Elephas maximus indicus: one gene and its partner. The main gene of each other region encodes a partner of the protein of the gene in region 2 in a complex. Links are inferred from orthologs where the notes say so. Each region holds a gene or a part of one and is shown on either strand. Other genes may lie near its edges.

The links.
Region 1: ING3 (region 2) and VPS72 share a complex: the UniProt entries of both Homo sapiens proteins name them as parts of the nuA4 histone acetyltransferase complex. The link is inferred for Elephas maximus indicus from reciprocal best matches to the Homo sapiens genes ING3 and VPS72.

Annotation. Positions count from the first base shown.
Region 1 is NC_064821.1:185,209,961-185,226,068, forward strand, and holds the start of VPS72 (vacuolar protein sorting-associated protein 72 homolog), read right to left. Parts: upstream 7,293-16,108; 5' UTR 7,189-7,292; coding exon 7,072-7,188; intron 3,681-7,071; coding exon 3,528-3,680; intron 3,349-3,527; coding exon 3,234-3,348; intron 1,917-3,233; coding exon 1,740-1,916; intron 627-1,739; exon of another isoform or gene 489-626; coding exon of another isoform or gene 422-488; intron 1-421. Other genes in the region: PIP5K1A (phosphatidylinositol 4-phosphate 5-kinase type-1 alpha), read left to right, coding at 13,303-13,384. UniProt on the Homo sapiens protein: Deposition-and-exchange histone chaperone specific for H2AZ1, specifically chaperones H2AZ1 and deposits it into nucleosomes.
Region 2 is NC_064826.1:28,785,342-28,800,930, forward strand, and holds the start of ING3 (inhibitor of growth protein 3), read right to left. Parts: upstream 6,692-15,589; 5' UTR 6,522-6,691; coding exon 6,494-6,521; intron 6,250-6,493; coding exon 6,178-6,249; intron 2,070-6,177; coding exon 1,969-2,069; intron 964-1,968; coding exon 898-963; intron 1-897. UniProt on the Homo sapiens protein: Component of the NuA4 histone acetyltransferase (HAT) complex which is involved in transcriptional activation of select genes principally by acetylation of nucleosomal histones H4 and H2A.

The DNA of each region.
Region 1 (16,108 bases), on a different chromosome or scaffold from region 2:
TTAAAATTATACATCCTAGGCTCTGATCACAACATCCTATCCTTCTGGTCTGTTTGCTCCACTGTGCCAGATAGCCCAGCTCCTCTACTTCAGTACCTCTAGTACATGACCCCTCTTCATTCTTCCTATCCACCAGGCCCCACCCCCAGCCTTCACTTTCCTTTTAAATCCAGCTTCAATTCCTCAATCTATCATTTCAGTCATTCTCTTGCCAATGACCTAAACTCCTGCCCATATTTTGCTTGCTGAGTGTTACTGGAGAACAATTACACAACAGGTGTTATGGATTGAATTGTGTCCCCCCAAAATATGTGCTATAATTTCTAACTTCAACCTCTATGCCTGAGGTTATAATTCCATTTGGGAATGGGTTGTTTTGTTATGTTAATGAGGCATATGGCTTGAGTCAATCTCTTTTGAGATACAAGAGATTAAACAAGCAAGCGAGAGAAGCAGAGATGGGGAAAGAGAGATGCCAAGCCACGTGAAGACTGCCTAGGAGTAGAAGCTTATAGACAAGGACCTTCCTCTGGAGCCGAGAGAGAGAGCGCCTTCCCCTGTAGCCGGCACCCTGAATTCAGACTTCTAGCCTCCTCAACTATGAAAAAATAAATTTCTGTTTGTTAAAACCATTCACTTGTGGTATTTGTTATCGCAGCACTAGGTAACTAAAAAAACAGGGTAGACTGGTATCATCAAAATTTACTGTCACAAACTCAACAAGTGCACCAACACTGCCAGATAATCCTATCTCAACAACTATTGAAATACTTCGCTCTCAAACTTCCAACCCCACCCAACACCTGACAGGAGACATCACACATCAGATGAGAACCACTACAGGGTCCTGCTCTGGATTTCCAAACCGACACCTATCAGCACCCATCTTTTCTCCCTTCTCTCAGTGTATCTTAGGCCAAACTCACCAAGTATGCTCTAGCTCCCAGCCCTGTCTCCCACTTTCTCCATAACTACACTATTAATTATCCCTTCTTTTTTCAAACTCTTTCAGTTGTTTCTCACCAAAGATATTTCAACAAAACAAACAAAAACAACTCTACATTGACCCCAGGTTCTCCTACAGTTTCTATCCTTTCTTCTACCCTTCACAGCCCACTTCAATATGGGTGGGTCCACAAAAAGTGCTTCCTAAGTCACCTCTGACCTTTATGTCACCAAAACCAATAGGCACTTCTCAGTTCTCTTAATCTGTGTCTCAACAGAATTCAACAAAGTTACTCACTCTTGAAATATTCTTTCCTCAGCAGCCTACAAACTCTCCTGAATTCTCCAACTCCCTGGTCATTCTTCCACAGCTGTATACCCAATAGCACACAAACTGAAGAGATTTCCAAGAATAATTTTTAAAGCAATTTATCTTATGGACTACTGAATTTGAAGGTAGGCATTGTTATCTTGTTTTGTGAACAAGGAAAGCAAGATACAAGTAGGTTATGTAATTTGTCTTCAGTTTTATAGCAAGTGAACAGCAGACCCAGGATCTGAAATCAGTTCTATATGACTCTCATTTTATGCCAAAGTACCTCCATATTGCTTGTTCTTCAGAGCACTCACAACTGCCTAGTCCCTGGTTCCCAATCACCTACTCTCGCATTTCTTTCTCCTGATTTCCTAGTCCCAAAACTCTATTGCTCTGGTTCTTCTAGTGTTTCAGGTCTCACAGCTTTTCTTAATGCCCTCCGCCCCACTACCCGTTGTTCCTGAAATCACGGACTGACCCAGTGAACGCAGGTTGAGCTCCTCTGTGATCTTGGCTTCCCTAAGCAGCTCCTCCTGGGTCAGTGGGCGCTCATAGTGGGGCCCCTTTCGCCGCCGTGACTGGCCCTGCCTTTCCTGTACCCGAAGGAACGTCTGTCGTGTATGCTCAGCTGTAGACTGACGCATGGACTTCCGACCTGAGAAGAGAATCAGATAGGAAGAAGTCTTTGAAATCATGAGCTTTTTTTTTTTTAAGCTTTTTATTTGGAAATTATTTCAAACTTACAATAAGTTGCAAGAATAGTACAAAGAACATCCATGTGCCCTTTGCCCAGACCACCTACTATAAACATTCTGTCTCATTTGCTTGCTTTTTTTTTTTAACCACCTTAAGTTGCACACATCGTAGCTCTTTACCTGTAAACACTTCAGTGTGTATTTCCTAAGAATAAGGATATTCTTTATATAACTAGAATACAGCTATCAACTTCAGTAAACTTCACACCAATATATTACTTAAATCTATCATCCATATTCCAATTTTGTCAGTTGACCCATTATTGTCCCTTACAGCATTTTTACTGCCTGCAGTACAGGATCCAGTCTAAGATCATGTGTTACATTTGGTTATCTCATCTTTTTAGTCTCCTCAAATCTGCAACAGTTTCTAAGCCTTTGTCTTTTATGACACATAATCACCTCCTTTAAAGAAAGCCACTTAAATTTGCAGTTCGTCACTCTCTTTGTAACTAGTCAAGAGGCTTCCCCTTGAAAAATGTTACACTAACAGCTTGATTAATCATACTAATAGAAGGGAACAGATCAACAGATGTTTCAAATATTAATTTTTACTAGCTTGAAAATGCTTAAATTTTTTCCTCAATGATAAAAGATTTATCCTCCTGTGTTTTGCTTAAACTGGTATTAAAAATAATTAGTAATCTCTTAACTTTAGAAGAGCATTCCAAAAATAATCTGAATGGCAAAAGAAAACTAGTCTGAGATAAACTTATGCAGATATTCCAGAAATGGATAATTGAGAATTAGCTAATTTGTTCTTACATGTGTATCTATGGACTACATGTACTTATTTATTTATTTGCCTCACAAATTGGGCTGTAAATCCTCTATAAAAATTCTTTTTTATACTGATACCCATAACCCGTTCCCGTCGAGTCGATTCCGACCCATAGCGACCCTATAAGACAGAGTGGAACTGCCCCATAGAGTTTCCAAGGAGTGCCTAGTGGATTCTAACTGCCGACCTTTTGGTTAGCAGCCATAAACTACTATGCCACCAGGGCTTCTTTTATACTGACACTAAACCCTTAATATAAGACTTAGCATCCTGGGGACATTTAGGAAATTCCATACTTATAGTACTGATAGTTATCAGATGCTGAGTCCTCCTATCACCTGTCCTCTAGTCCTAGAAGTAAACAGGATTACCTCTTCCCCAAGTCAGTCTGTGGGAAGACTGCTCACCCCACCACCCCCCAAAAATCCCCACTCACTGTCTGAGCCATCATCCTGTAGTTCTAGTGGCAGCAGTGCTTTCTCTTCTCGGGTCTTTTGAGAGCTACCAGCTGGGGTGCTCACCTTCCGAGGCCTCAAGCTCTTGAGAGGCTCCTAGGGACAAATTGGCATCAGAGACCAGAGAAGAGAAGAGAAAGGGAGGAAGAGGATTAGAATCTTAAGAACAGAAAACTAGTATTGTAGCAAATGGGACTGCTGTGGGGACTACTGGGTCCTGATGAAGGGGAGAACAGGAACTGAGAGGTCCAAAAAAACCAGGAATCCTTCTGCACCTTATAGGCCTTGGTGACTATTCGGCGCTTCCTTCTCGGCTCTTCTGCTTCTCCATCACTGGATGGTTCATCCCCTTCATCGATGTCAAAGTCAGAGTCCACCTCATCCTCTGTGTCTGACTGGTCCCCTTGATACTCATCATCTCCTGATTCCTGAGGGGACAGGGAAATGAGGGCTGGCTGGCACTAGAGATATCAATGCCCCTTCAGAAGAAACAGAATCTCTTCATTTTCCTGCTAAGGGTTGGCCCACACTACTTCCCAACCCAGTTCTTCATTTCGTTGGGCAAGAAGCCTTCCTAACTGATGGCCACTGGCTCCAGTACCGCGCCCTTCTAATAATAATTGACTGCCCTTTACCTATATCACACTGTGTTAAGCGCTGGAGAACACAGGGATATGGTTTGGTCTCTATTTTCAGGGGGATCACAGTCTACTGGAGGACAGGACATAATTATAAAAAGAAAAGTTTTAATGCAAGGCAACACATAAAATAACAATTGGCAATAAAATGTTACAGGGATTCAGAGGAAGGCTTGCTATGGGCTGGTGGTATGGGAAAGTCTACACTATAGACTTTAATCCTTTAGACCACGTGTCAGCAAACTTTTTCTGTAACGGGCCAAATAGAAACAAGTGGTGGGACAGATTTGTTCTGCAGGCCATAGTTTTGTTGAACTCTGCTTTAGGTTCTAAAGGATGAAGAGGCCTTGAGCCATGGTTTAAAATAATGGTAGTATTTAAGACAGCCAAAGAAAAGAAGGAATCATGAGCGGATGGAATAACAGAAACAAAGGTACAGAAGCAGGAATTTGTAAAGCATGTTTATGGAATAAGGATTTAGACCCAAGTAGAGCAGAGAGTTTGTCTCTGGCAAAAAGCCTTCCTAGCTGAAGGCCTTTGAATCTGGCACAGTCAACCATCTTCCAACATTAACTGATTGCCCTTCAGTATTTTACGATTTGAAAAGACAGCTGCATTCAGTCTATAGAGAAGCTTATATGCCAGGCATGACTTTAATATGCAGGCCAATGATTCTCAATCTTCTTCCTCCCCTTATTTGTCCTAGCACTATTACCACTGTTGAGGTAAACTAACATCACTGAGAGAAATGTCTCATTTCTCAGGTGTGCTGGGAGAGACAAACAGTTGGGTGCTACTACTATGGGTAATGGGGAATGTGGAAGATTTGGGAGAGGCGAAAACAGTGTGACAAAGGAGTGTTTCAAAAAGCTCTGGAGGTGGTTAGATGGGCTGAAGTAGAGCTTGGAGTACAGCCTAAGCCTGAGATGATGCAGGTTAGGGCTAGAGTGGGAGCCACCACGGAAAGGGAAGAGAAAAAAGCACTTGGGAGAAGGGAACTCAACTGGGCTGGGCAGCACCTCAAACATGTGGCTCTCTCTTCAATCAGTGGTACAGATTGATGGGCTAATCTTGGTACACATGCTACCAAAGCAAGCAAATAACACTGATGGGTGACACTCCAAGCTGGCCAGAGTTCAGTCTTGCAGTGATGACCATCATTTCCTCCCAACTGAAGTTTGTGAAAGACGGCCTCAGAGCACATTAATCCTCTCAGCTCTAACCAGTATTAAGTCGTATCACTAGAGGGTAGTAGTTCAACTACACATTAGCTTAGTGCTCAACCGAAGTGCTTTCACTAAATCATGAGTTTACTATTACTCTTTTGGTTTTTAATGACGGTCATTAATAGGCATGACTAGATAAGAAAATGTTTTTATACCCATAAAACCACTATTACTTAATATACTTTATAAAAAACGGAATGATAAATTTTTCCTGGAATTTAATGCTGAGTAAGTTTGTCTCTTTTGATGGAAGTACTTACATGCTTCTTTCTTATTAAAAAAAAAAAAGAAAGAGAGAAATTCAGGGTTTAGCTGTCAAGAAGCTCATAGCTAAATTTAATATCAACTGCTATTACCATTTTAGCATAGGCTCCTGGTACAATTATCTGATCTGTCTCTATTTTTACTGTTCCTACTTTTTGTTTATATAATAAGCCTTCTTAAATCCTTTTTGGAAGCATGAAGGGTACATATTAAATAACTACTCATAAAATGACAGGAATAGGAAAATGGGCTGAGGGGAATTGGCCTTGGAGGAGGGATGAGAAAGTTCTATTTTAAACTACTTGGTTAAGGCTGTGTAAGTATGACTCCTAATCAGTCCCTAAGTCTATGGATTCTATTTCCTTACTTTCTCTTGAATCCTCCTGTCCATGTTTCTCCCTCCCACAGCCACAACTTCAGTTTAGACCACTATTATCTCTTGCCTGGATTTTTGCAACTGCCTAATCTGGTTTCTTTGTTTCTAGTCTTGTCCCCTTCAAACTATTCCCCTCACACAGAGTACTCTTTCTAAAGTATAAATCTGACTATGGAACTTGGATGAAGCGTCTCACTCTAAAGAAAAAAACTCCTTAATTTGGCTCACAATGCCCCCTATATGATCTGGCCCATGCCTATTTCCTCCAGCCTTTCCAATCTTTATTCTTCTTCATCCTCTGGAAAATGGGGTAGACTTGGGGGTTCCCAGACAAGACCTGAATCTCAGTGCTTTTACACACTCTTCCTCACCCCCTCCAGTGTACTGATTGGTCCCCTCCCCCAGCTCCCAGCCCTACAGCTCTTCAACCAGCCAAAGTCTACTCTTAATACTGTCTTCAGCTTAAACATCATCTCTCCTTGGATGGCTATGCTGACCACAACTCTGGCTCCCATGGGTTACCATAGCATCCTATGTTTACCTCTTATTTTACTGCTTATCACACAATATTTTAACTGCCTGTTAACCCAACTAGTTCTCCCATGCAGGTATGAAATGTTAAGGACAGTGTTTTTAATACTCTGTTTTCTTAGAGGCTATTACAGTGCCTGGGATGCTCTGGGTGCTCAATGATATTTAATAAATGGATTTGGTCAATAAAAATCTAAGGAGTGACATTAGACATATACTGTTGAGCAAAACAGACTATCTCTAAACTTGTAGAGCTTACAACCTAATAGGAAAATATAAACAAATAAGTAAACCAAATCCAATTACAAATTGAAATATGTCCTATGAATGCAACAAATGGGGACACTTTTTCAGGTCAAAGAAGAGTTACCTAAGGAGACATTTACAGTGAGACTTGAAGCCTGAAAAAAGGAATGTGCTAAGCCCCTCTATCTTTTGGAGAGATTACTTTCTACATGTCAGTTAAATAACCAGGCAGCTGGCCAACGAGTATATACCGAATGACTACGATGTGCCTTGCATGGGGTGAGAGATGCAGCTAGAGAAATACACAGTAGGTTTCTCCCACACTCTGCTGTCTCCCTCCAGAGAGCCTCTCCACCCCTGACTCCCTTCAGCCCTGTCCAGGGCTCTGTTCTCTAGGACTCCACTGTGTATCCCCAGACTCTCTCACCCCGTCTCGAGTATCTGCGTCCAGGACTCCTCTCTATTCCCGTTCCCTTCTTCTTTGGCAGGACTCCTCTTTTCGTTTTCTCCCCTCCCTCTACCTGGGCCCGGCTCTTGCCTCTGTGAAACCCCCATAAGTCGTCTGGTAGAACTCATCTTCCTCCTCGGCCTCTAGAAGCCCAGAAAGCCGGTTCCCGGCGGTCTTCCGCGGGGCTCGGCCCCCAGCCAAACTCATACCGCGCACCGAGAGTACGCCGCCGCCTGCGGCCCCTCACCCAGCTCGGGTCTCGGAGCTCGGCGCTTGACACCACTACCTGCGTGTGACCGATGCAACGGAAGCGGGGCGTCTACAGGCAGAAGCAGCAGAGCGTCGAGGGCCTCCAGCCTTCTTTACTCTTCAGCCCCGCCCACTACTGCGCAGAGCCTCTGCTACCCCTGCCTTATCCCGCAGGGGCTTCGGCTGTGGGAAGCATGCCATCCCTGGCGCTGAGAGCCTTACTACCGTTAAGTCCAGAATTTGCGAGTCGAACAGTTTCCTTTTAGAAGAGGTCATTGTCCCCCTGCTCCAGTCCGTTTTCCGCTCTGCTGCTAGTAAGAAACTTTCTAAAAACTTGTACGTGACTTTGCCACTCTTCTGCTCAAAACCTTCAATGGCTCTCCATCTTCCACAGGATAGAGTCTAAGCTCCTCGAGGCAGAACAGTATTGTGATTAAGAGCACAGTTTTAGAGCCTACTAAACCTGAGTTCGAATGTGAGCTTTAAGGTCTTCCAGCTGTGTGACCTTACCTCTTTGAATCTCATTTCCTCATCTGTAAAATGGGGCTAATAATACCTTTTAAGGCTGTTGTGAAGATTAAAAAATATACTTATTAACTGATTAGCACAATTTTAGTCCGCACATGGTAGATGTTTAGTAGATGATCACTACTATTAATGTGCCATTCAAGAGCCTTCCTAACTTACCCTCTTCTTGCTTTTTTAATCTCACTTCTGCCACATCTCCATGTATATCCAGCATCACTCCCTTGAACCCAATTCTCTGTTATACCTCCAAGCTTCTTCTTCTTAGAATCCCTGTCCTACACATGAGACCGTGTTGGTATCTCCTGTCTGGAGAGGAGATGAGAGGGCAGAGGGGGCCAGAAGCTGCCCGAACGGACACGAAGACAGACGGTGGAGGGAAGAAGTGTGCTGTCTCATTAGGCGGAGAGCAATTAGGAGTGTACAGAAAGGTGTATAAATTTTTATATGACAGACTGACTTGATTTGTAAACTTTCACTTAAAACACAATAAAAATTATTTAAAAAAATTCCTGTCCTTTCTTGTCTACCTGGAAACATTCTTATTCTATAGGGGAGTCAGGAGTACTGAAGGAAGAAGTCCAAGTTGCTGTGAAGGCATTGGCGAAAAACAGGGCTCCAGGAATTGGTGGAATATCAATTGAGATGTTTCAACAAACAGATGAAGCACTGGAGGTGTTCACTCGTCTATGCCAAGAAATATGGAAGACAACTTCCTGGCCAACTGACTGGAAGAGATCCATATTTATGCCTGTTCCCAAGAAAGGCGATCCAACCAAATGTGGAAATTATAGAACAATATCATTAACATTACACGCAAGCAGAATTTTACTGAAGATCATTCAAAAACGGCTGCAGCAGTATATCCACAGGGGACTGCCAGAAATTCAGGCTGATTTCAGAAGAGGACGTGGAACCAGGGATATCATTGCTGATGTCAGATGGATCCTGGCTGAAAGCAGAGAATACCAGAAGGATGTTTACGTGTGTTTTATTGACTATAAAAAGGCATTCGACTGTGTGGGTCATAATAGATTATGGATAACATTGAGAAGAATGGGAATTCCAGAACACTTAATTGTGCTCATGAGGAACCTTTACATACATAGATCAAGAGGCAGTTGTTCAGACAGAATAAGGGGATACTGATTGGTTTAAAGTCAAGAAAGGGTGCATCAGGGTTGTATTCTTTCACCATACCTATTCAATCTGTATGCTGAGCAAATAATCCGAGAAGCTGGACTAAATGAAGAACAGGTCATCAGGTTTGGAGGAAGACTCATTAACAACCTGTGTTATGCAGATGATACAACCTTGCTTGCTGAAAGTGAAGAGGACTTGAAGCACTTACTAATGAAGATCAAAGACCACACCGTTCAGTATGGATTGCACCTCAACATAAAGAAAACAAAAATCCTCACAACTGGACCAATGAGCAACATCATAATAAAGGGAGAAAAGATCGAAGTTGTCAAGGATTTCATTTTACTTGGATCCACAATCAACAGCCATGGAAGCAGTAGTCAAGAAATCAAAAGACGCATTGCATTGCGTAAATCTGCTGCAAAGGACCTCTTTAAAATGTTGAAAAGCAAAGGTGTCACCCTGAAGACTAAGGTGCGCCTGACCCAAGCCATGGTATTTTCAATCTCATCATATACATGTGTAAGCTGAACCAATGAATAAGGAAGACCAAAGAAAAATTGATGCCTTTGAATTGCGGTGTTGGTGAAGAATGTTGACTATACCGTGGACTGCCAAAAGAATGAACAAGTCTGTCTTGGAAGAAGTACAACCAGAATGCTTATTAGAAGCATGGATGGTGAGACTGCGTCTTACATACTTTGGATGTGTTGTCAGGAGGGATCAGTCCCTAAAGAAGGACATCATACTTGGTAAAGTACGGGGTCAGCGGAAAAGAGGAAGACCCTCAACGAGGTGGACTGACACAGTGGCTGCAACGTAACAACGATTGTGAGAATGGCGCAGGACCAGGCAGTGTTTTGTTTTGTTGTGCATAGGGTCGCTATGAGTCGAAACCGACTCGACGGCAACAACATAGGGCAGTCAAGTCTTTCCTCACATCCATTCCTCTCGTTCCAGGCACAGTTCCCATAACTATGGCGATCATGCCTCCTGGAGTCTCTGGAATAGTTTCAATTTATTTTGTGACATTTTCAGAATTCTGTGTCTACTTCTGTTCCCATTTTTCATCCTGAAAATGTAGTTGTCAAACCATAGCACTTGTACATAACTCCATGATGAGACCTTTTGTTGTAACGATTTGGGTGTCTGTCTCCTTTATTAGTTTATGATCTTTTTGAGGGCAGGGACTTTATCTTCATCTCTTATGCCAGGAGCTTTCATACTGCCTGGGGCAGTTGTGGCTAAATAATGTACATTGAATGATGGAATTAGCATATTACAAATGGAATGAATTAGTACCTGTGCTCTTATTCTTGCCTCTGTGTTGCTTTTGCCAGCCACCAGCCATTCCATTCTGACTTTAGGAACTGTACTAAGACATAAAGGAAGCTTTTCTAAAGCTGTGTGTTTGTGTGTATGTCTTCCTGGCCATATTTTGTGGCCACCACATTGCGCCTTTTCCTAAAGTATATATTGGTGAACTCCCTTTTTCACTTCCTTGGGGGCACCAAGCCAACTTGTCCCGCCCTGCCCCTGCATCCACACCCTGCCACGTCACCCCAGTTTTGCTATGCCAGGAATGTTACTGCCCTCTATGACTCAGAGGGCACCCTGGGGATGGAGTGGGAGTGGGGACAGAGACAAGGTTTGGGGGTGGGCGTGAGATGCCTACTTCTTAAATACCCCTAGCTCCACTTCTTGAATTTTGCCTTCATCCATTCATATATTCAGGAGGTATGTATTGGGTACCTACTCTGTTCCAGATGTTTGAGATATTAAAATTGACGTCATCTTTGTCCTGAAGGGTTCATAGTCCTATTAGGGAGACAAATAGGTACACAAACTGACATAATACAAGGTGGTAGGTATCTAATAGTAACCATTTTCTGGTACATAAAGCAGAAACTAAGACTCTTAAGAAGCCACCAAACAGGGGTGTCTTCTTTCAGGATGGCTGAAGTCAAATTCACCCCTTCATCCAAGTGACAGATCAGATCCCTTTGTTTGACCTCCTGCCCTGGTAACTTAGGGCTTTATTGGTCTTTTTCCAATTTTTAAATCAGAAACAGCTTTACCTCTATACCAGCTGATAGCTAAAATAACTCAGGAAACGGTAGCAACTCCATGCTTTATATGGAAACGGAGATAATCAATAAATATTGAACACCCACTATGAGCCCAATCCTGAGCTAGGCAGTGTGCCCCCACACAGTCCCTGTACTGTTTAGTTGGGTGGGGGGTATAGAATTAAAAAAAAAAAAGAATTAGGCATCATAAAATACTTCAACACTGCACAATTCCACTGCTGTGAAGTTACCAATGTCAATCCAATCCTTTGAAGTAGTTGTCTACTTTCATACCCCAAAGAGGAAGAATAATCCAGCAGGTGGCAGCAGGGAAACAATCTTGGATCTAGTAGGGGAAGGATAGATAGAAGGGGATATTCTATGGACATTCGGGTCCTAGATTCCTTCAAAAACCCGGAATATCTGGATAGAATAACTAGGCCCCATCTTGAGGGCTATAAAACTTATACGTGTTTTTTTTTTCCTCATTTATCTTCATTGATTCATTCAACCATTAATTATTGAGCCCCTGCGATGTACACAATCATGATGAGGAGCCGGAAATGCAACAGTAAACCGAACAGTTCCTGCTGTCCAGTAGTTTACAATCTGTTCAGACAGGTTTCTGAATCACCACCAGGGTTCAGAACCTCCAAGGTACTTTGTTAAAACTGGAGTGGGTTAGTGGAGTGGGTTAGTGCGAAGACTAGACGATGGAAATTGGGCAGTTTCTCTGTTTCATCTCTATGACCTGTGGAGCACAGAGAATGGAGAGTTGGAGGCTAAGGGTTTGGATCACGCAAAGGTTTTGATATGGTCTAATGGTCTTCCATTAGCAAAGAAAGGGAAGATGTCACTGTGAATACTAGGGTGCACCTCACCCAAGCCGTGGTGTTTTCAATAGCCTCATACGCATGCAAAAGCTGAGCAGTGAGTAAGGAAGACTGAAGAATTGATGCCTTTGAATTGTGGTGTTGGTGAAGAATATTGAATGTACTATGGACTGCCAAAAGAATAAACAAATCTGTCTTGGAAGAGGTACAACCAGAATGCTCCTTAGAAGCAAGGATGGCTAGACTACATCTCACACACTTTGGACTTTTTATCAGGATGGATCATTCCCTGGAGAAGGATATCATGCCTGGTAAAGTAGAAGGTTAGCCAAAAAGAGGAATACCCTCACAGAGATGGATCGACACACTGGCTACAACAATGGGATCAAGCATAATAATGATTGTGAGGATGGCACAGGACTGGGCAGTGTTTGGTTTTGTTGTACGTAGGGTCGCTATGAATTGGAACCCGCTAGACAGCACCTAACAACAACAAAAATGGCCTTCTGTAGCCCGTTTTGACAGAACTTCATTCATTTATCAAATATTTATTGAACTTTGTCACTGTGCCCATCATTGTGCTTGAGGCAAACAAAAACATAGGAGGTGTTACAAATGTCATTCCTAAGGCAAGACGTGCACGCACATTAAGCTAAATAATAAACAGGGCAGTAAAGCCGGAAAAGGGCCGGGAAGGATTCTTCGTGGCTTGTGATGTTTTGTAACATTCGACTGTTTAATATCTCAGACTTGACACACGCCCTTTTCTCCGGAGTTCTTTCCTGGGCTGTTAATTTGAGAGGGCCGAGTTCAGGACCCTAAACCCAATCCTTTCAAAGCGTTGAATCTGAATTGACCCACCGAGCCACCATAGGGTTAGTCAGCCGACCAGGGCGCGTAAGTCTTCCACCCTTGGATTCGTCAAGGCTTGAAGGACCCGCACCACGTGACCGCAGTCAGGCTCCCGATTGGCTCCACTCCTATCCGGACCGTCACCTCCCACTGGGTGGAATGGAACCTTGAGAAGAAGATCGGGCGCATGCGCGGTGCCCGGATTTCCCTGGACACCGTGAGTAGAGCCGTGGGGTTGGGCGATAAACAGGCTGTGGCCGGAGGAGGGGGAGGGGGCGTTTGCTCCGCCCGGAGTTCTCACGCCTCCTTATCCCGTTAGGTGTGGTTTGGTTCGAACCCGGGGCCCCCGGAGCCGGCTTGAGCCTGCTCCCTTGTGAAGGGGGAAAGTAGCCCCGCGGAAAGCTGTTAAAGTTGCGAAGGGGGTGCGAGAAGAGAGTTCTCCACCCATGCCCGCCGAATGGTACGGCCCTGAGCTGGTCCCTGAGCTGGTCCGGGAGCTGGCCCGACGTGTCTGAGAGAGGCCCCGGCGGGGGCGGGGAGGTGGCCCACAGAACGCGAGTTCTGTGTAGAGACGTGGGAAGATTCGATTTCGAGAAGAGGAAGAGCTCGATTGAAAGGGAGCGAGGGCGCTGAGGTGGGGGGCTACCAAGATGGCGACGGCCTCCTCTGGGCCGTCGACGATCGGATTTTCATCCGTGGATTCCGGGGTCTCTTCCTGCACCTCGTCCTCAGGTAAGCAGGGCGGGGCGTGGGCAGGGGGCTGATGACGACTGTGCGATGGGACGGAGAGCGAGACCTGGCAGGGCACCTGTAGCTGGAGGTGTTCGAGGGGTTACCGGTAAGAGGCAGAGGGTTGGATTTTCAAATAGCAGGGGTTTCTGAGCTGGCAGGGGACTGGGAGTGATGAGTGAAAAGGATGAGAAAAAAAAAAAAAAAAGAACGAGAAAAAGGAAGGTGTGGAAGATGTTGGCTGTTTTCGACAAGACCGGGTTGAGGACTCAGGAGGGGATGGAGATTGAAGGTAGGTGTAGGAAGGAAACAAGGGGAACCCAAGGGAGTAGAGAAACTAAACGGAGCACTGACAAGTAGAGAGAATTAGCGTGAGAGACAGGTAGAATCCAACTTGATTGTGGGGTTAATTGGATGAACAGTGTGAAAGAGAAGCCATGGAACTTAGAGATATTGAAGAGTTATGAGACGCTTTAGATTGCTGGGGAGTTAGCGAATCGTGAATTTTTTTGTGGTGGAAGTTATCGGACCCGGCTTTTTCCTCAGAGACTCCCCCACATGCGTCATTCCTTCTCACTTCGTCCTCCCCTTACACAAATACGCACAAACGCACACTTTGTCAAACATCTTCCTTTGGTGACTCCTATCTCTAGACGGCCCAGCTTTGAAAACGAACGGGAATTTTTGAAGAGAGCCTCAGGAATGTGGAAAATTAGGGTCAAAAGACCCTAAAAACAGTTGGGGAAGGTGAAATAGACTCTTTCCATTGCAGTAGAGGCTGAGGGAAGTGATGTTGGGAATTAGGCCTTAGAAGAGGTGGAGGAGGCTCTGAGTGCTGTGGAGGAATATTGCGTAATAGGAAATGAACTGGGAGAAAGCTTAAAATGTATCAGAAATTTGGAACTTGGAGAATGGAGCCAGGGAATATAGAGAGCTCAGAGTAGTTAGAAACTAATGAAGATTGAGGGAGGATTGAGGAGCCTGCAAGAAAAGCAACAGACTGTGTGTAGGAGGGAAAATGTGGTGGTGGTGGGGATTTTGAGTCACAATCTGTTCTAGAGGTTCCATCAGAAATGTGTGGTGTCCCACAGTGACTGTTGCCTTTGCACTGTGAGGAGGAGAGATTGCCAGATGTTGAATGTTTTAGAGATGTTGACATTTTTTAGGCCTAGGATTGCATCCTTGCCATTTTGAATTGGCTGAATAGAAGGTTCCACCTTTCACATTCCAGCTCAGATGAGCAAATACATAGTCACAAATATCTTCTTCATAAGCTGCAGTTTTCTTGAGAAGTGATTTTTGCCTTTCCTGTAAAAAGCATTCGAGGGCCACAGCATCTCTTGTTGCACTCTAAGCTTGAAGGATAAAGTGAAAGTGCCAGTTTTTTAAAAAATACAGTAGGTCCTTAATTTGAAACCTCTCCTTACCCCCATTAAAAAAAAAAAAAAAAAACATAGTAACCCAGAAATAAGAGTGATTGTGTATGGTGCTTAAGCAAACTTTTTTTTTTTAGTTGTAAATATATATGTATGTAAGAAAATATTTGCCAGTTCAACATTTTTCACATGAGCGATTCAGTGACGGTGATTAATTATGTTGTAGAACCATCACCCGAATCTTTTTTTTTTAATTTTTATTGTGCTCTAAGTGCAAGTTTACAAATTAAGTCAGTCCCTCATACAAAAATTTATATAGACCTTGCTATATACTCCTAATTGCTCTCCCCCTAATGAGATAGCCTGCTCCTGCCCTCCACTCTCCATTTTCCTGCCCATTCTGCCAGCTTCTGACCCCCTCTGCTCACTCATCTCCCCTCCAGACAGGAGATGCCAACATAGTCTCAAAGTGTCTACTTGATCCAAGAAGCTCGTTCTTCATCAGCATCTTTTTCTATCCCATTGTCCACTCCAATCGCTGTCTGAAGAGTTGGCTTTGGGAATGGTTCCTGTCTTGGGCTAAGAGAAGGTCTGGGAGCCATGACCACCGGGGACCTTCTTGTCTCAGTCAGACCATTAAGTCTGGTCTTTTTACGAGAATTTATCACCCGAATCGTTTGCCAAATTTTCTATTACCGTTAACAGATACTCAGTGCTTCCTAAACAATGACTCCTCCTCCCCCCTCTATTCTGCCCTGGTAACCACTAATAGACTTTGGTTTCTATGCATCTGCCTATTCTAGATATTTCATATAAGTAGGATCATACAGCATAAGGTTTTCAAGGTTCGTTCGTGTTGCGGCATGTATCTGGACTTCATTTCTCATTATGGTTGAGTTATAATCATTGTATTAAGCAAATTCTTAACTCAAAAGTCAGAATAGAGCCAGGGAATATAGAATGGATGTCAGAAATGATATTAATTTAAAGACGGTAAGCTTACACCCCAAAATTTGGTTCAGCCTCTGTCTCATGGAGGTATTTAACAGGTGGAAAAATTTAAGAGTAACAAGGAAATATTTTTTTTGTCTTTATTGATACATTTTTCTCCTTTTATGTCTATAATCTTACTTTAGATAGTCCTTAGGTGTTACTAAAAAAAAAAAAAAAAATTTTTTTTTTTTTTTTTTTCTATCTGGTGTTTTTTATAGGCTTTTACATTCTCTGCCAGACCCTAGGGCTAACAGTTAATAATACAGACTGGGTAAATTTTTTTTTTTTCCTTACTTTGTTTGCACCAGGTCAAAGATTAGGTTTTAGTGGACTCTACAGCTCCTTGATTCTGTTATAT
Region 2 (15,589 bases):
AACCTTGAAAGAAAAAAAAACTGCCAACCAACAATAATACATTCTGCAAAACTCTCATTCAAGTATGATAGCGAAATTTCCAGATAAACAGAAATTAAGGGAATATGTAAAGAATAAACCAAACTTACAAGAATTATTAAAGGGAGTCCTTCGGTTTGAGAACAAAAAAAATCAGATCACAGCCTAAATCTAGGACATGAGATCATACCAGCCAGATACCAACCTAGGAAATTAACTCTCAAGGACTATACAAAACCAAAAGAATTACAACAGGGAACCAGAGAGGCAACAATGTCAGAACAATACAAGCTGGAATAAGCATTATAGGTATAGAACTTTCTAATGAAAAGGAAGACAAGGCGATACCAAGTAATAATAGACTAGTTCAAACCTAGGAAGATAAGAGAAATTCCAAAGTAACCACAAAGAAAGTTAACAAACCTACTCATCAAAATAAAGAGGAAAAACTTAAAAAAAAAAAAAAAAAATTCTTGTTAACACAGTACTGTTATATGTATTACACAACAGAAATAATCTCAAAATGATTTATCAGCCAAGTAAACACATTACCTGAAAAACATAAGGATTTATAAAATAAGGTTAAACATCAATTCTTATTAAAAAAAAAAGTGTCCAATATCAGATACAATTGTAACAGAAATGGAGACTTTGCCAAAATACAAGGTTATTGACCTAGTAATTTATGCTGTGGACTCTCTCTGATTCTTCCACAAAGAAACCAAAAAAACTGAAAGCAAACACTCAAATTAAAGGGATCCAAAGAGCAAACACTTCAGTTTTGGTTTACTCTTCCTATAGCATTTAAGTCAGTAAAATGTAAAACATAATCCATAATTCAAATACTTATGATGTAGTATGTGCCTTAATGTTACTTACCAAGTCATATATCTGGTTTGCCAATTGTACCTTTTCATCTGCATCTTCCAAAGCTTTATAGTAATCCTGAATAAAAACATTTTGATTTCAAGGATAAATTAATAGTTTTTAAACATGGGTATGCAGGACATATAACTACATTTTTATTATTATTCTGTGAGACTCTGTTATCACTAAAGCAATATCCAGTCACCCTACATTAGCAATAAAAACCCAGTTAGGGTTAGGGAAAGGATAGGAGAAAAATTATAAGTTAGGGACAGCAGCCTACAATCAAAGAAAGATGTACAGAATTTCTAGAAAAAAATACATAAATAAAAATAAACACATTCCAAATCTAGCCTACATTCTAGTTAAAGCTATGTGAACTAAGGAAGTTCTTTTTCCAAAGTCACACAGTCAAATGGCCCAGTCATTTTCATGACAAAACTCATGTCTTTTAAGCTGTTCTTTCCAATACATTCCTGAACAAACTAGATAGATCAGACCTTTAACACAAACCTTGGGCTGAGAGCTGATGCTCACTACACTCTGGAAGATAGCTATAAGTTCTATAAAATTAATAAACACTCAATTCTACATTTACAGACCCAATTCATGTACAAATTTAGTTTTAAACTAAAAGACCTTTAAGGAACCTTCCAACTCAAAGATTCTGCCCTTCCTTAAGTCTTAGGTACCTAGGTACCTAAGCAACACAGGAAATATACTACAAGTTCTGCTGATTTTTCACCCTAGTTTGGGGCCAAAACTCAGACAGTATTATATTTCTAAGGACAAGGCAAGATTAATTACCAATAGCTAGAATAAAACCGTTTAAAAGGAAAAAAAAATTAGGAAAAAAGTATGTACTTATTTTTTAAGGTTCGATAACTTTTTAATAAATCACTAACTACTGAAACAATTTAATTACCAAAATGCTTCAATGATTAAAAATTGCTACATCTTGAGCTTTAAAACACAGTAAGTTGTTTAAATTCTAAAGAGCCACTAATAACTTTTCCTTATTTCCATATTCAGGAAATAGGGTCCTGATATTTATCGATAATTCATTCAGGACATTGAACGTACTTTTTTGATGGATGTCATCTGTTCTTCTCTCCATTCAGATTTATTTTTCTTCGCATTCATGAAGAATTCACTGACTCTTTGTTCTAGCTGATCCATTGCATCTGAAACATAATAAAAACTTTCTACATTTAGTCAGCCAGGTTCATACACTAAATATATATACACTTTGGGGGAAAAAGCATACCCGACAACATATGTTCCTTTCACTTGGCCAGTAACTTAAGTATGTCATGCTTTAATTGTGTGAATATATAATTCCTTGATTACCTTACTAAAAAAGAAGTTATATTTTTTCCAACTGACAATTTATTTCTGTGATTGTTATTTCAAAGTCTTTTCTAATAATCAAGTAGAGTCAATGACACCGATTGTTTTTCAATGGTTGAGCCTTGAGGTGAAAAGTTATTGGAGGCAGCAAAGGGGGCAGCCAGCGCCAGAGCTCCGCTCCTAGCTGTGGCGTGGGCAGGCAGGTAGGCGCAAGGATATGATGCTGCCGCTGCCTCCCCATGGGCCTGAGCTGTGCTGCCAGGGCTGAGCCGCTCGGAGTAGCCAGCCAAGTAGCTGCTGGGCACACCCATAGCGCAGGAGGATGGGCTGTGGCAGGAGACGGGCTGATGCCATTGGGCCCTGCTACTAGGAGAGTTGGACCCAGGACACCAAGTCCACCTAGCTGACCTACATCAACTCAGATGTGCTGCCCAGCACCGCCACCCTGGACAGAAGCCCCAAGGTGGGCAGCCTGCATGCAGCTAGCGAGCAGTCATGTGAGAAGCATCAATTGGTCCCAACCCACCTGGAGCAAAGCAGAATGAAGAACACCAAAGACACAAGGAAAATATTAGCCTAAGAGATAAAAAGGGCCACATAAACCAGAGACTCCATCAACCTGAGACCAGAAGAACTAGATGGTGCCCAGCCACCACCAATTACCACCCTGACAGGAAACACAACAGAAAGTCCCTGACAGAGCAGCAGAAAAGTAGGATGCAGAACTCAAATTCTAGTAAAAAGGCCAGACTTAATGGTCTGACTGAGACTGGAGGAGCCTCAGAAGACATGGCCCCCAGATTCTCTGTTAACCCAGAACTAAAACCTTTCCTGAAGACAACTCTTCAGACAAAGATTAGAATGGATTATAAAACATAAAATGATACTCATGAAGAGTGTGCTTCTTAATTCAAGTAGATACGTAAGACTACATAGGCAGCTCCTGTCTGGAGGCGAGATGAGAAGGCAGAAAGGACAGGAGCTGGCTGAATGGACACAGGAAATTCAGGGTAGAAAAAGGCATGATGACGTATTACAGGGATACCAACTAGGGCCACATAACAATGTGTGTATAAATTATTGTATGAGAAGCTAACTTGAGCTGTGAACTTTCACTTAAAGCACACAGAAAAATTTTGTTTCTCCAAAAAAAGAAGTGATTAGAATTAAATAGGCTAAATGTCTCAAAACACAATTACTTATTGAAAGCACCACTACTTAATCCTTACACCTCTTTTAATAAGAAAAGGTGGTAAAAAGATCTTAATATCTCGTGATATGGCCTTAAGTATCTCATTATCTCTTATCACAAGTGAATGTAACAGGTACAATCATTTATTCACTTAACAGACTGTTAGTTATTCTAGATAAGTTTTCCTCAAAGTGTGTGCCTGTGCCAGGAATAATCATCTCACTTGATGTCTGTTAACCAAAACCCACTGCCACTGAGTAGATTCCAGCTCATAGCAACCCTATAAGGACAGAGCAGAACTGCCCCACACGGTTTCCGAGGCTGTAAATCTTTACTGAAGCAGACTGCCACATCTTTCTCCTGGGGAGTGGCTGGTGGGTTCAAACTGCAGACCCTTTAATTAGCAGCTGAGTGCTTTAAGGACTGCACCCCCAGGGCTCCTTTTTACAAAAGGACAAATAAATGGGATTCTGTCATCATGTAAGCTGAGGAAAACCTTTTTATTCTATCTTCCTTTTGGAAATTTGCAGTACAAAACAGCTTCATAAAGATTCTGAGAGTCCCTACTGTAATTTTTTAAAAAGTATTTTCCTTTTTTAATAAATAAACTTATTTAACACAGAGACCTCTTTTAACCCATAATATCTATTAAGGTTAGAAAACTCTAATCATTGTAAAAAAAAAAAAAATACAAGTTAAAAAGCCTGTAATTTGTATAAATTATAAGAGAATTTTAAATTTGTGATGATAATGAAAATTTATAAAATGTTCTTTTTTGGAAAACTTGGTGGCATAATGGTTAAGTGCCACAACTGATAACCAAAAGGTCGGCAGTTCAAATCCACCAGGTGCTCCTTGGAAACTCTATGGCACAGCTCTACCCTGTCCTACAGGGTTGCTATGAGTCGAAATCGACTCCAGGGCAATGGGTTTGGTTTTGCTTTTTTTTGCACCACGTACTATACTTTGTAACTTATCTGTATTATTTTAATCCTTAGATCATTCTCATTTTAAAGATGATGAAAACTCCTCAGAAGTGGTAATGTGATCAAAGTCAGTAAGTTAGTAGCAAAGCCCTAAATGAACTCAGACCTACCTGACATAAAAGTCTGTGCTTGATCCTGCAGAAAACAATACTTTAAAAAATCTTTAGCATTTCAACTATAATAAAGTTAAATTGGGTTTTGTGAGCTGGATAGAGAGCCCCATGTACAATTCAGACTTCCATCATACAGTATACCCAGTAGAAGGATGTGGCGGCTTCCATACCATATCACCTTTCTAATATGCCCCTAATGAAACTGGTAAGAGGTTGAGAAAGTACATTCATTAACAATGGGTACAGATGTATTGGCTGGGGGGGGGAGGGGTGCAGAGAAGCAAGGGGAAATGAAAAGGACAGGGTCTTAGCTACTCCAAGGCTTCCACAGTCTGGGAAGCTTGTTGAGCTGATCTCTTTCCATAATACTCCTTTCCTCTCCATCAGAATTCAAAACCCACATCAACATCCATGCCTACTTTTCTAAGAAAACCTGCCAGCATGACAAACATTTTATATACAGACCACACATAGCTGGGATGCATGGAATCAAAACACATATCTTCTGGGGCCATACTCCATGAAGGCTAGCTATTAATGCTAATTACACAATTAAGGAGTACCTACAAACAAAGGGAGTGACACATCCAACAAGGGACTTTCAATTATACATTTTAATTATGTATCATATTATTCTTTTCCCATTCTTAATTTTTAACAAAGTATCCCTACAAGACACTTGAAACAACTCTCATCATACTCATTTCACAAATAGGGAAGGTTTGTCAGGTTCTGTCCCAGCATGGTAGACATAAATATGGTATACAGCACTGTTTTCTTACTTTGTAATGTATATATATTTTTTTTTTTAGTTAATGTAATTCTGCCTAAGTATTTGCTTTCTTATCTCCAAAGACAGTGATTCTTTGCATTCTCTGAATAATGGGCCCTTTTCAGAACTTGCCAGAAAAAAAGAAATCAAAAAAAAAAAAAATATATATATATACATAGGATATAATTCCAGTGTATTCCAGAACACCCTGAAGGCCATTTGCCAACTCTCTAGTTGAAACGGCAAAGTAATTTCGGTAAAGTCACCCGACAACCAAGCTATCACGAAAAGAAGAAAAGCTCGCTGACAAAAATGTTATTACATGCGACAGGTAGCTTTACAATAAAATCTAATTACCCTCACTCATTTTGATTGAGGAAACACTGTGTGGCTGACAACTGAGAACGTACGCTACAATGTGTAACTTTCCAAAATGTGGTATTCCAAGTTCACCAGGGTTTCTGAAAACCTACATACAAGCCATGCTTCTAGAAGTTTTCTGCTCTTGAAAATTTTAAGGAGAGGAGCTTTGAAAGAAGTGTTGAAATTTAAATTCGGTAACGTATTAGCTCAAGTCAAAACCTTCTCAACATTTATGCTGATGTAAATTCCATTATATTCCATTATATGCCAAATAAATAAATGTATACTTTTTTTTTTTTGCACAGACCCAAATTCGAGAAAAAAATACACTTGCCCCAATGTCTCCTCTTGTGAACGCCACGAGAAAAGCAGCGCGGGAGAGAAGAGACAAGATTCGGCAATGCCCGTTCTCTTTGACAACTCCTTACGCACTAGCGAGCGCGCCAGAAGAGTCAAAGAGCCGGCAAGTCTAGCGCTGGATGCGCAAAGCGAACAAGAGCAAACCGGGCGACTTACTCTGCACCTGCAAGTCCATCTCGCGCATCTCCGTGAAGCGGTCCCGCAAGTCCATGGGAAGCTGCTCAATCACTGTCAAGGAGAGAGTCCGTCAGAGGGGCGGGGCCAACGGCGAAAATACGCGCCTACGTCACTGCGCGTCTGCGTGCGTCGGGGGGGCCAGGGAGCCGGCAGCCCACAACGAGCCTGCCAGTTACCGTGAGAAAGAAACATCCCCCGCCGCCCCCTCCCTCCCGCCATCCCGCCTGCCCGGCCACTCGCACTCTCGCCCGCCCGCGGCTCACACCGGCGGCCCACGTCAGCGCCGCGCACTCACTCTCCAGATAGTCTTCTAGGTACAACATCGCGGCCCTTAGAACTGGGGTAACGAGGGCGTCCAGGGGTTTATTTGTGTCACTCGCTGTCGCCGGAGTTTTGTCCCTTTCAATATGGCGCCTCCGCTAGCAGCACCCGCTCGGCTCCGGAAAAAAAAAAAAAAAAGAAAAGAAACACTTTGGCGCCTGACGGCGCTCGCCTCACTGCCGCCCGGTGCTGCCATTGGCTGACTGGGGCAATGACGTAAGCCGGTCGGTGTCAGCTCTTGCGCCTTTGTGGGAAGTGTAGTCTTCCTCCCTCCGGAACGAGCCTTGATGGGCGGGCAGCTTTCCACGTGGAAACTACAAAAACTAGGCGCCATTGCGAACAGTGCGCCGCTGAATCCGAAATGCGGTGCCTCTGTTTATTTGTTGATTTTTGACAGGGAATGACGGGAGTTGTATGCTCCTGCACAACACAACTAGGAACAACTTTTCACCTGTTCTTTACTGCTATGATTTTATGACCCGGTGTTTGTGACTCATGGATTTCAGTGCCCGGCAAATCGCGAAGGTTCTAACGGTGGAATAATCAGTAAAGTTCGGGTAATTTGGAACGTGAAGAACAAAACTCTGCTGGAATCTGCCCTCAGTATTCACTCCTAAAAATATAAATGGGACACCTGGTTGGCGTCTATGTAATTTTAATGTAATTTACACTGAGAAGTTAGAGTGGAATGTGCATTCCCAGATGAAAAGGTGACAGCTAATCCCCGCTACCAAAACCCAAACCGGTTGCAATTGATTCCAATTCATAGCAACCCTGTAAGAACAGAGTAGAACTCCCCCATAGGGTTTCCAAGGCTGGTAGCCTCTTATAATCATATGTCCTATTTTTCAGTTCTTTCCGACGTCTTTCTATTGTAGTTGATCTATACACACAACCGAAAAACAAACACGTCGCCCTCCGGTGGATTCGGATCTCATTGCTACCCTATGGGATAGAGTAGAGCTGCCCCATAGGGTTTCCAAGGAGAGGCTGGTGGATTTGAACTGCCGACCTTTTGGTTAATAGCCAAGATCTTGACCGTTGAGCAACCAGGGCTCCTATACTCAACACCTGCAAAAGAAAAATAGTTCTTGGAGCTTTTATGTCCAATGAGCTGTGTTAGTAAAAACTTTGGATTATAATAGACATCTAGAGTCGTGGATATTGTCTTTTACCAACTTTGGACTCCTTCCCCCAAAAGTTCGTAAGTGATGTGTTTAGTTCTTCACTGCTCAGTTTCTTTTTTCTTAACTCTACCAAAAACCAAACCCAACCCATTGCTGTAGAGTCGATTCTGCCTCATAGCGACCACATAGTACTCAGTAAATGTTAGTTATTATTTTCCTCACTTCTTTATTTAAATCTCTTCATTTTTTAGGAAAAATTGTGTTTAGTTTATAATCTAATGTTCTAATCTGTATTATTCTGCTTGGTGTGGAAACTCTTGTTTATGTGTGTGTCCAGCTTGTCCCCTCCATTACATACTCTTGTATTCAAGAATTTTCTACCGCACTTAATCAGGAGACTTCCTGTCATACTGATGAATCTCAAAGGAACTTTACCCCAATCCTAATAAGAATTATTACCTACTTTTATCTTCTCTACTTGTATCTAAAATCTGGTACCTTAAGTCTTTCTTTTTCTCTCTCTTTCTTTCGGAACTTTTTTGTCTTGATTGTTTTGTGGTTTCACAGTGATTAAATCTAGGTCTGGATTTCTTCTTTTTTGTTGTTTTTGGGTTTTATTTTAACTATGCTTGGGATTTAAAGGGATTCCTGAATGTCAGGATTAATGTCCTCCAACAATTATAGAAAATTTTAAGCCATTATTTTCTTCAATGTTGCTTATTCCCCATTTTCTCTCTTCTCTCCTAGAACATATACAGACTTTCTCACTGTCTTAGGCTGGCTTCGCTAGAGAAGCAAAGCCAGTAAAGCATTATATATATATATGTATATATAAAACAAACAACAACAACAACGAAACTGTTGCCGTTGAGTTGATTCTGACTCAGAGGACTCTATAGGACAGAGTAGAACTGCCCCATATGGCTTCCAAGGAGCGGCTGGTGTATTCGAACTGCCAACCTTTTGGTTAGCAGCCAAACGCTTAACCTTATTAAAAAAAAAAAAAAACCCATTGCTGTCGAGTGGATTCCGACTCATAGCGACCCTATAGGACAGAGTAGAACTGCCCCGTATAGAGAGATTTATATCAAGGAAATGGCTCACATGGTTATAGAGGCTGGAAAATCCCATCCTCTACATAGTATTTTTGGCGATATCAGCTGTTACTATAAGAAATAAGGCTTTCTTTCAAGGATTAGCTGTGTCATCTTTACTACTGAAAGCAGAGCCATCAACATCTTTAAGACTAACCAGATTTGAAAACCAATTTAGAAAACTCACCCTTAGCGTTTTGTTTCTCTGGAACTACCCCCGGTTCCAAATGTCTTAGGCTGGGTTCTCTAGAGAAGCAAAACCAGTAAAGCATATACATATATATATGGAGAGATTTATATTAAGGAAAAGATTCACACAGTTGTAGAGGCTGGAAATGTGGGTCAGGCTGGAGGCTTCTCCTGACTCATGTAGCTGAAGGGGCTGGCGAGCCCAAAATCTGCTGGTTAGATGGCAGGGCTCTGGCTCACAGGCTGCCCAACAAATCCCAAGATTGGCGAGCAAGATAGCAGTAAGCTGCTAACTCAAATCCCAAGAACCAGAGGCCAGACAAATAGGATCCAGGGTGCGAGCAAAAGCTCACAGGCCTTGCCAGAATATCCACTTATATTTGATGCAGGGTGTGTGCCCAAGGAAACTGCCTTTCAACTGATTGGTTACTCACAGCATATCCCATTATGGAGGTGATTGTAATGGAGAGGAAAACCTGGACACACATATATAGAAGAGTTTTCTGATTAATGTGGGCCTACTGGATGCACTCTCCTGGGATTTGAAATTGGAATGTAGAGACACTGAGACTGAAGGAATGTTGACAAAATTACATTAATTGCAGCTCAATAGATATATGGTCCACAAGCTGCTGTTGCTGAGACCCCCAGAGCTGCTTTACTTTTTTCCTTGCCTTTTATTCCTTTCTCTGCCTAGAGTTGGATTTTTTTTTGCCAAAAGAGCCTGATTTACAAGTCTACATTGTCATAATACAAAAAAAAAAAAAGTAGAATTCTAGCTATTAATCACTCAGCTGATTATACATTATGAACTGCTTTTTATACTAGCGTGACTCAAGTATCTGTCTTCCCTCACCCCACCTTTACGGTTGACCTTTTTTAAAAATTTATTTGGGAAACAGGAGGCAGGATGGTTGCAGTGTTTCAGTGCAGGATCTACACTTAAATTGCATGGGTTCACTTCCCTACTCTAACACTGTTGTGTGATCTTGGCCAAAGTTATTTTAATTCTCTGTGTCATTTCCTGGTCTACAAAATGGAAATAGTAAAAATAGCTAAATCATAGTACTATATGATCGTAATGATATTATCTATGCAAAGCACTTAGTGTAATGATTCAATTGTTGTTGTTACATGCTTTCGAGTCAGTTCTGATTCATAGCAACCCTAAGTGCAACAACGAAACACTGTCCAGTCCTGTGCCATCCTCACAATCATTGTTATGCGTGAGCCCGTTGTTGCAGCCACTGTGTCAGTCCATCTTGTTGAGGGTCTTCTGCTTTTTTGCTGACCCTCTACCAAGCATGGTGCCCTTCTCCAGGGACTGATCCCTCTTGATAACATGCCCAAAGTATGTGAGTGACATATCCTTACCATCCTTGTTTCTAAGGAGCATTCTGGCTGTACTTCTTGCAAGATAGATTTATTCCTTCTTTTGGCAGTTCACAGTATATTCAATATTCTTTGCCAACACTATAAATCAAAGGCATCAGTTCTTCTTTGGTCTTCCTTATTCATCTCCAGCTTTCCCATGCATGTGAAGCGACTGAAAGCACCATAGCTTGTTAGTCCTCAAAGTGACATCTTTGCTTTTCAACACTTTAAAGAGGTCTTTTGCAGCAGATTTGCCCGATGCAATGCATCTTTTGATTTCCTGACTGCCGCTTTCATGGGTGTTGATTGTGGATCCAAGTAAAATAAAATCCTTGACAACTTCAGTCTTTTATCCATTTATCATGACATCGCTTATTGGTCCCAAAAACCCACCCAAAAAAACCCATTGCCATAGAGTCAATTCTGACTCATAACGACACTATAGGACAGTGTAGAACTGCCCCTAGGGTCTCCAAGAAGCGCCTCGTGGATTTGAATTGCTGACCTTCTGGTTAGCAGCCATAGCACTTAACCACTGTGCCACCAGGGTTTCCTACTTATTGGTCCAGTTGTGAAGATTTTTGTCTTCTTTATGTTGAGGTGTCTTTGATGTCATTCCAGAACTCGTCTCATCTTCAGTCATTAGTGTTCAAGGCATCAAATCTAATCTTGAGATCGTCTCTAAATTCAGGTGGGATATATTCAAGGTCATACTTTAGCTCTTGCAGACTTGTTCTAATTTTCTTCAGTTTCAACTTGAACTTGCTTGTGAGCAGTTGATGGTCTGTTCCCGCATTGGCCCCCAGCCTTGTTCTGACTGGTGATATTGAGCTTTTTCATCATCTCTTTCCACAGATGTAGTTGATTTGATTCCTGTGTATTCCGCCTGGCAAGGTCCATGTGTATAGTCACTGTTTATGTTGGCAAAAAAAAGAGTTTGCAATGAAGAAGTCATTGGTCTTGGCAAAATTCTGTCACTCAATCACCAGCATCGTTTCTATCACCAAGGCCACATTTTCCAACTTCTGATCTTTCTTCTTTGTTTCTAAATTCCAATCACCAGTAATTATCAGTGCATCCTGAGTGTATGTTCCATCAATTTTAGACTGCAGAAGTTGGTAAAAATCTCCAATTTCTTCATCTTCAGCCTTAGTGGTTGGTGCATAAATTTGAATAATAGTCATATAAACTGGTCTTCCTTGTAGGCATAGGGATATTATTCTATCACTGACAGTGTTGTACTCTGGGATAGATTTTGAAATGTTCCTTTTGACAGTGAATGTGACTGACGCCATTCATCTGAAAAAGTTGTTATTCCCAGCATAATAGTCCATATGATCGTCCGATTCAAAATGGCCAATACCAGTCCATTTCAGCTCACTAATGCCTAGGATATTGGTCTTTATGCATTGCATTTCATTTTTGACAGTTTCCAATTTTTCTAGAGACATACTTTGTACATTCCAGGTTCCGATTATTAATGGATGTTTGCAGCTGTTTCTTCTCATTTTGACTCGTGCCATATCAGCACAGAAAAGTCCGGAAAGCTGGCTCTGTCCATATCATTAAAGTCGACTCTATTTCGAGGAGGCAGCTCTTTCCCAGTCGTACGTAGTTTGAGTGCCTTCCCACCTGCAGGGCTCATCTTCTGGCACTATGTCAAACAATGTTCCGCTGCTATTCGTAAGGTTTTCATTGACTAAATCTTTTCAGAAGTAGACCACTGGGTCCTTCATCCTAGTCTGTCTTAGTCTGGAAGCTCAGCTGAAACCTGTCCACCATGGGTAACGCTGCTGGTATTTGAATACCGGAGGCATAGCTTCCAACATCACAGCAAGATGCAAGCCCCCACAATACGACAGACTGACAGACATGTAGGGATCATAAATGGTAATACCATAATAAACAAAGAAAATATTGAAGATGTTTAGGATTTCATTTTACTTGGATCTACAATCAATGCCCATGGAATCAATAGTCAAGAAATAAAAAATGCATTGCATTGGGCAATTCTGCAAAAAAAAAAAAAAAAAAAAAAAACCATTGCCATCGAGTCGCTTCCAACACATAGGACAGAGTAGAATTGCCCTATAGAGTTTCAAAGGAGTGCCTGGTGGATTCGAACTGCTGACCTTTTGGTTAACTGCTACACCACCAGACCTTTTTAGTGTTAAAAAGCAAAAATGTCACTTTGAGGACTAAGGTGCGCCTGACCCAAGCCATGGTATTTCAGTCACCTCATGTGCATGAGAATGCTGGACAATAAATAAGGAAGATGGAAGAAGAATTGATGCCTTTGAATTATGATGTTGGTGAATACGCCATGAACTGTCAGAAGAACGAACAAATGTGTCTTGGAAGAAATATAGCCAGAGTACTCCTTAGAAGCAAAGATGGTGAGACTGCATCTTGCGGACTTTGGGTATGTTATCAGGAGGAATCAGTCCCTGGAAAAAGACATCATGCTTGGTAGAGGGTCAGGAAAAAAGAGGAAGATCCTCGATGAGATGGATTGACACAGTGGCTGCAACAACAGGCTCAAATATAGCAATGATTCTAAGAGTGGTGCAGGACTGGGCAGTGTTTCGTTCTGTTGTACATATAGGATCATTATGCGACGGAATCGACTCGATGGCACCTAGCAACAACAACAACCATTATCATTAATATTGTTATGACCCTCCTAAGTTTATCCACTTTCAGCTGCTTCTTTTGCTACTCTTAGCTCTGCCTTGTGCCTCTGCTTATTTGAGGACTGGACACCATCTAGAACTCCAGGATTATCACACCTCCAGGTGTGATACTGCCACTGCTAGCCTTACTTCAAAGGAGAGGTGAGGCACGGAAGCATGAGTAACAAACTGCACTGGAGCCTATTGGCTAAGTAGAAGGAATTAGAATATAGGAAAGGATTCAAAACATGATGTAAAATATGGCTGTTAGCAGAGTTCAAGTGATAGGGAAACTTAAGTTCTTCGTATAGCATCTCTTCAGAGGGACTTTGCTTGATGTCTTGCAGTTTTGCCATTTCTCTATTTTACAAAGATACCCACCATCTTGAAATCTTCCTACTAAAGCTCCGAAATGAAATCTTTACTTTGCTCCAGGCAGTGTATCCTCCCTCTATACTATGGGAAGAAACCAAAATAAAGTGTTGTTTTTACATGAGTCTCTATAATTTTACATCTTTAAAATCCACTGGGTCCCTTGCTGGATCAGTTATAAGCATCTTTGGGTAATAGTCTTCACTTTGCACAGCTCCGAATGGTTCCAGCCTTTTTCACTCCCAAGTTACCCAGTGTTATGGATCAGGTTGTGTCTTTCCAAATTGTGTGTTGGAATCCTAACCCCTATACCTGTGGATGTAATCCCATTTGAGAATAAGATTTTCTTTGTTATGTTAATGTTGCCATATCAGTGTAGGGTGTGTTTTAAACCAATCACTGTTGAGATATATAAGAGCAGAGTAGTAGTAGTGTTGCCCAGTTAGGGTCCGTGCCCTGGAGCAGTCGAGCCAATGAAACATACTCCAAGTTAGAAAGAGTGAGAAAGTTTATTCAGGAGATGTATATGTCACTGGAGACCTCAGCAGCACAGACTGTCTCTGTGGAGTCCCAAAGAGCAATTTTACATTAAAGCTTATATAGAATTTTTAGAAGGGTTAGAATTGTTTTTGTAGCCTGCAGATGGCATGGCTGGAGGAGTTATTCATTATAAGATAATGCCAAAAGACTAAAGAGATACATGCCCAACATCACCTTACCAGGCTAAAGATATACAGGTCAGACATCAGGTCTCTGATTTTTCTGTTGGTGGTTGGACAGAACAAAACAAAGTAATTTGCATCAGATCAAACAAAGAAAGAAATCATTAGCATTAGGTCAAAACAAAGTCATTAGCAAAGGTATGCAAAGGAGGAGGCAGGCAAAGGAAGGAGAAAAACTTAAACGTTCATCATGGCCTTAGTTACGTCGAGCTGTCGGTCGCCCATTTTGAAAAGGAGGAAACACACTGGGGTGTATTAGGGTCGCAGAAGGCATAGAAGAAAGTGGGTACAGGGGGAAGACTGACACTGTCTGAAGAAAGCCGAGGTAGACCAGTCTACAAGACGTAGAACTCCAAGGATGGCCACCAGCTAAAGAGAAGCTGAAATAAGAATTTTCCTCCAGAACAGAAAGAAAGTGCTCCCCTAGAGTATGTGCTCTGAATTCAAACTTCTAGACTCCTAAACTGAGAAAATAAATTTCTGTTTGTTAAAGCCACCCACTTGTGCTATTAAGAAACTAAGATACCTAGTATTCCTAAGATTGTTTCTTCATCCATTAAATGAGGGTAAGGAGGGGTACTCACACTCAAGGACTGAGAGGGACTCAAATGAGATATTGTATGTGGTTACATACCACAGGGCCCAGCACGTAAAATGTAATCATGAGATAATATTGTAGAATTAACAGTTGTTGTGTGCTGTTAAGTCGATTCTGACTCATAGTGATCCAATATGACAGAGCAGAACTGCCCCATAGCATTTCCTAGGCTAGAATCACTACAGAAGAAATTGTCACACCTTTCTCCCTCGGAGAAGCTGGTGGGTTAGAACTACTTGGGTAGCAAGGAGCGCTTAACCATTGCAACACCAGGGTTCCTTAAGAATTAACAACCATAGGTAAATGGTCTGGTAAGTGCTATACAAAGGGCATTGTCATGGGAATGGTTGCCTCAGTGCAGGTATAAGGGGTGTATTGTATTTAGAGGGTTAAGAAGAATCATAAGTGATCCATATTTATGCATATTCCCAAGAAAGGTGATCCAACCAAATGTGGAAATTATAAACAATATCATTAATATCATAAGCAAGCAAAATTTTGCTGACAATCATTCAAAAACGGCTGCAGCAGTATATCAACAGGGAACTACCAGAGATTCAGGCCAGTTTCAGAAGAGGACGTGGAACCAGGGATATCATTGCCGATGTCAGATGGATCCTGGCTGAAAGCAGAGAATACCAGAAGGATGTTTTAAAAACCAAAAAACCAGTGCCGTCGAGTCGATTCCGACTCATAGCGACCCTATAGGACAGAGTAGAACTGCCCCACAGTTTCCAAGGAGCGCCTGGCAGATTCAAACTGCCGACACTTTGGTTAGCAGCCGTAGCACTTAACCACTACGCCACCAGAGTTACCTGTGTTTTGTTGACTATGCAAAGGCATTCAACTGTGTGGACCATAACAAACTATGGATAACACTGCGAAGAATGGGAATTCCAGAACACTTAATTGTGCTCATGAG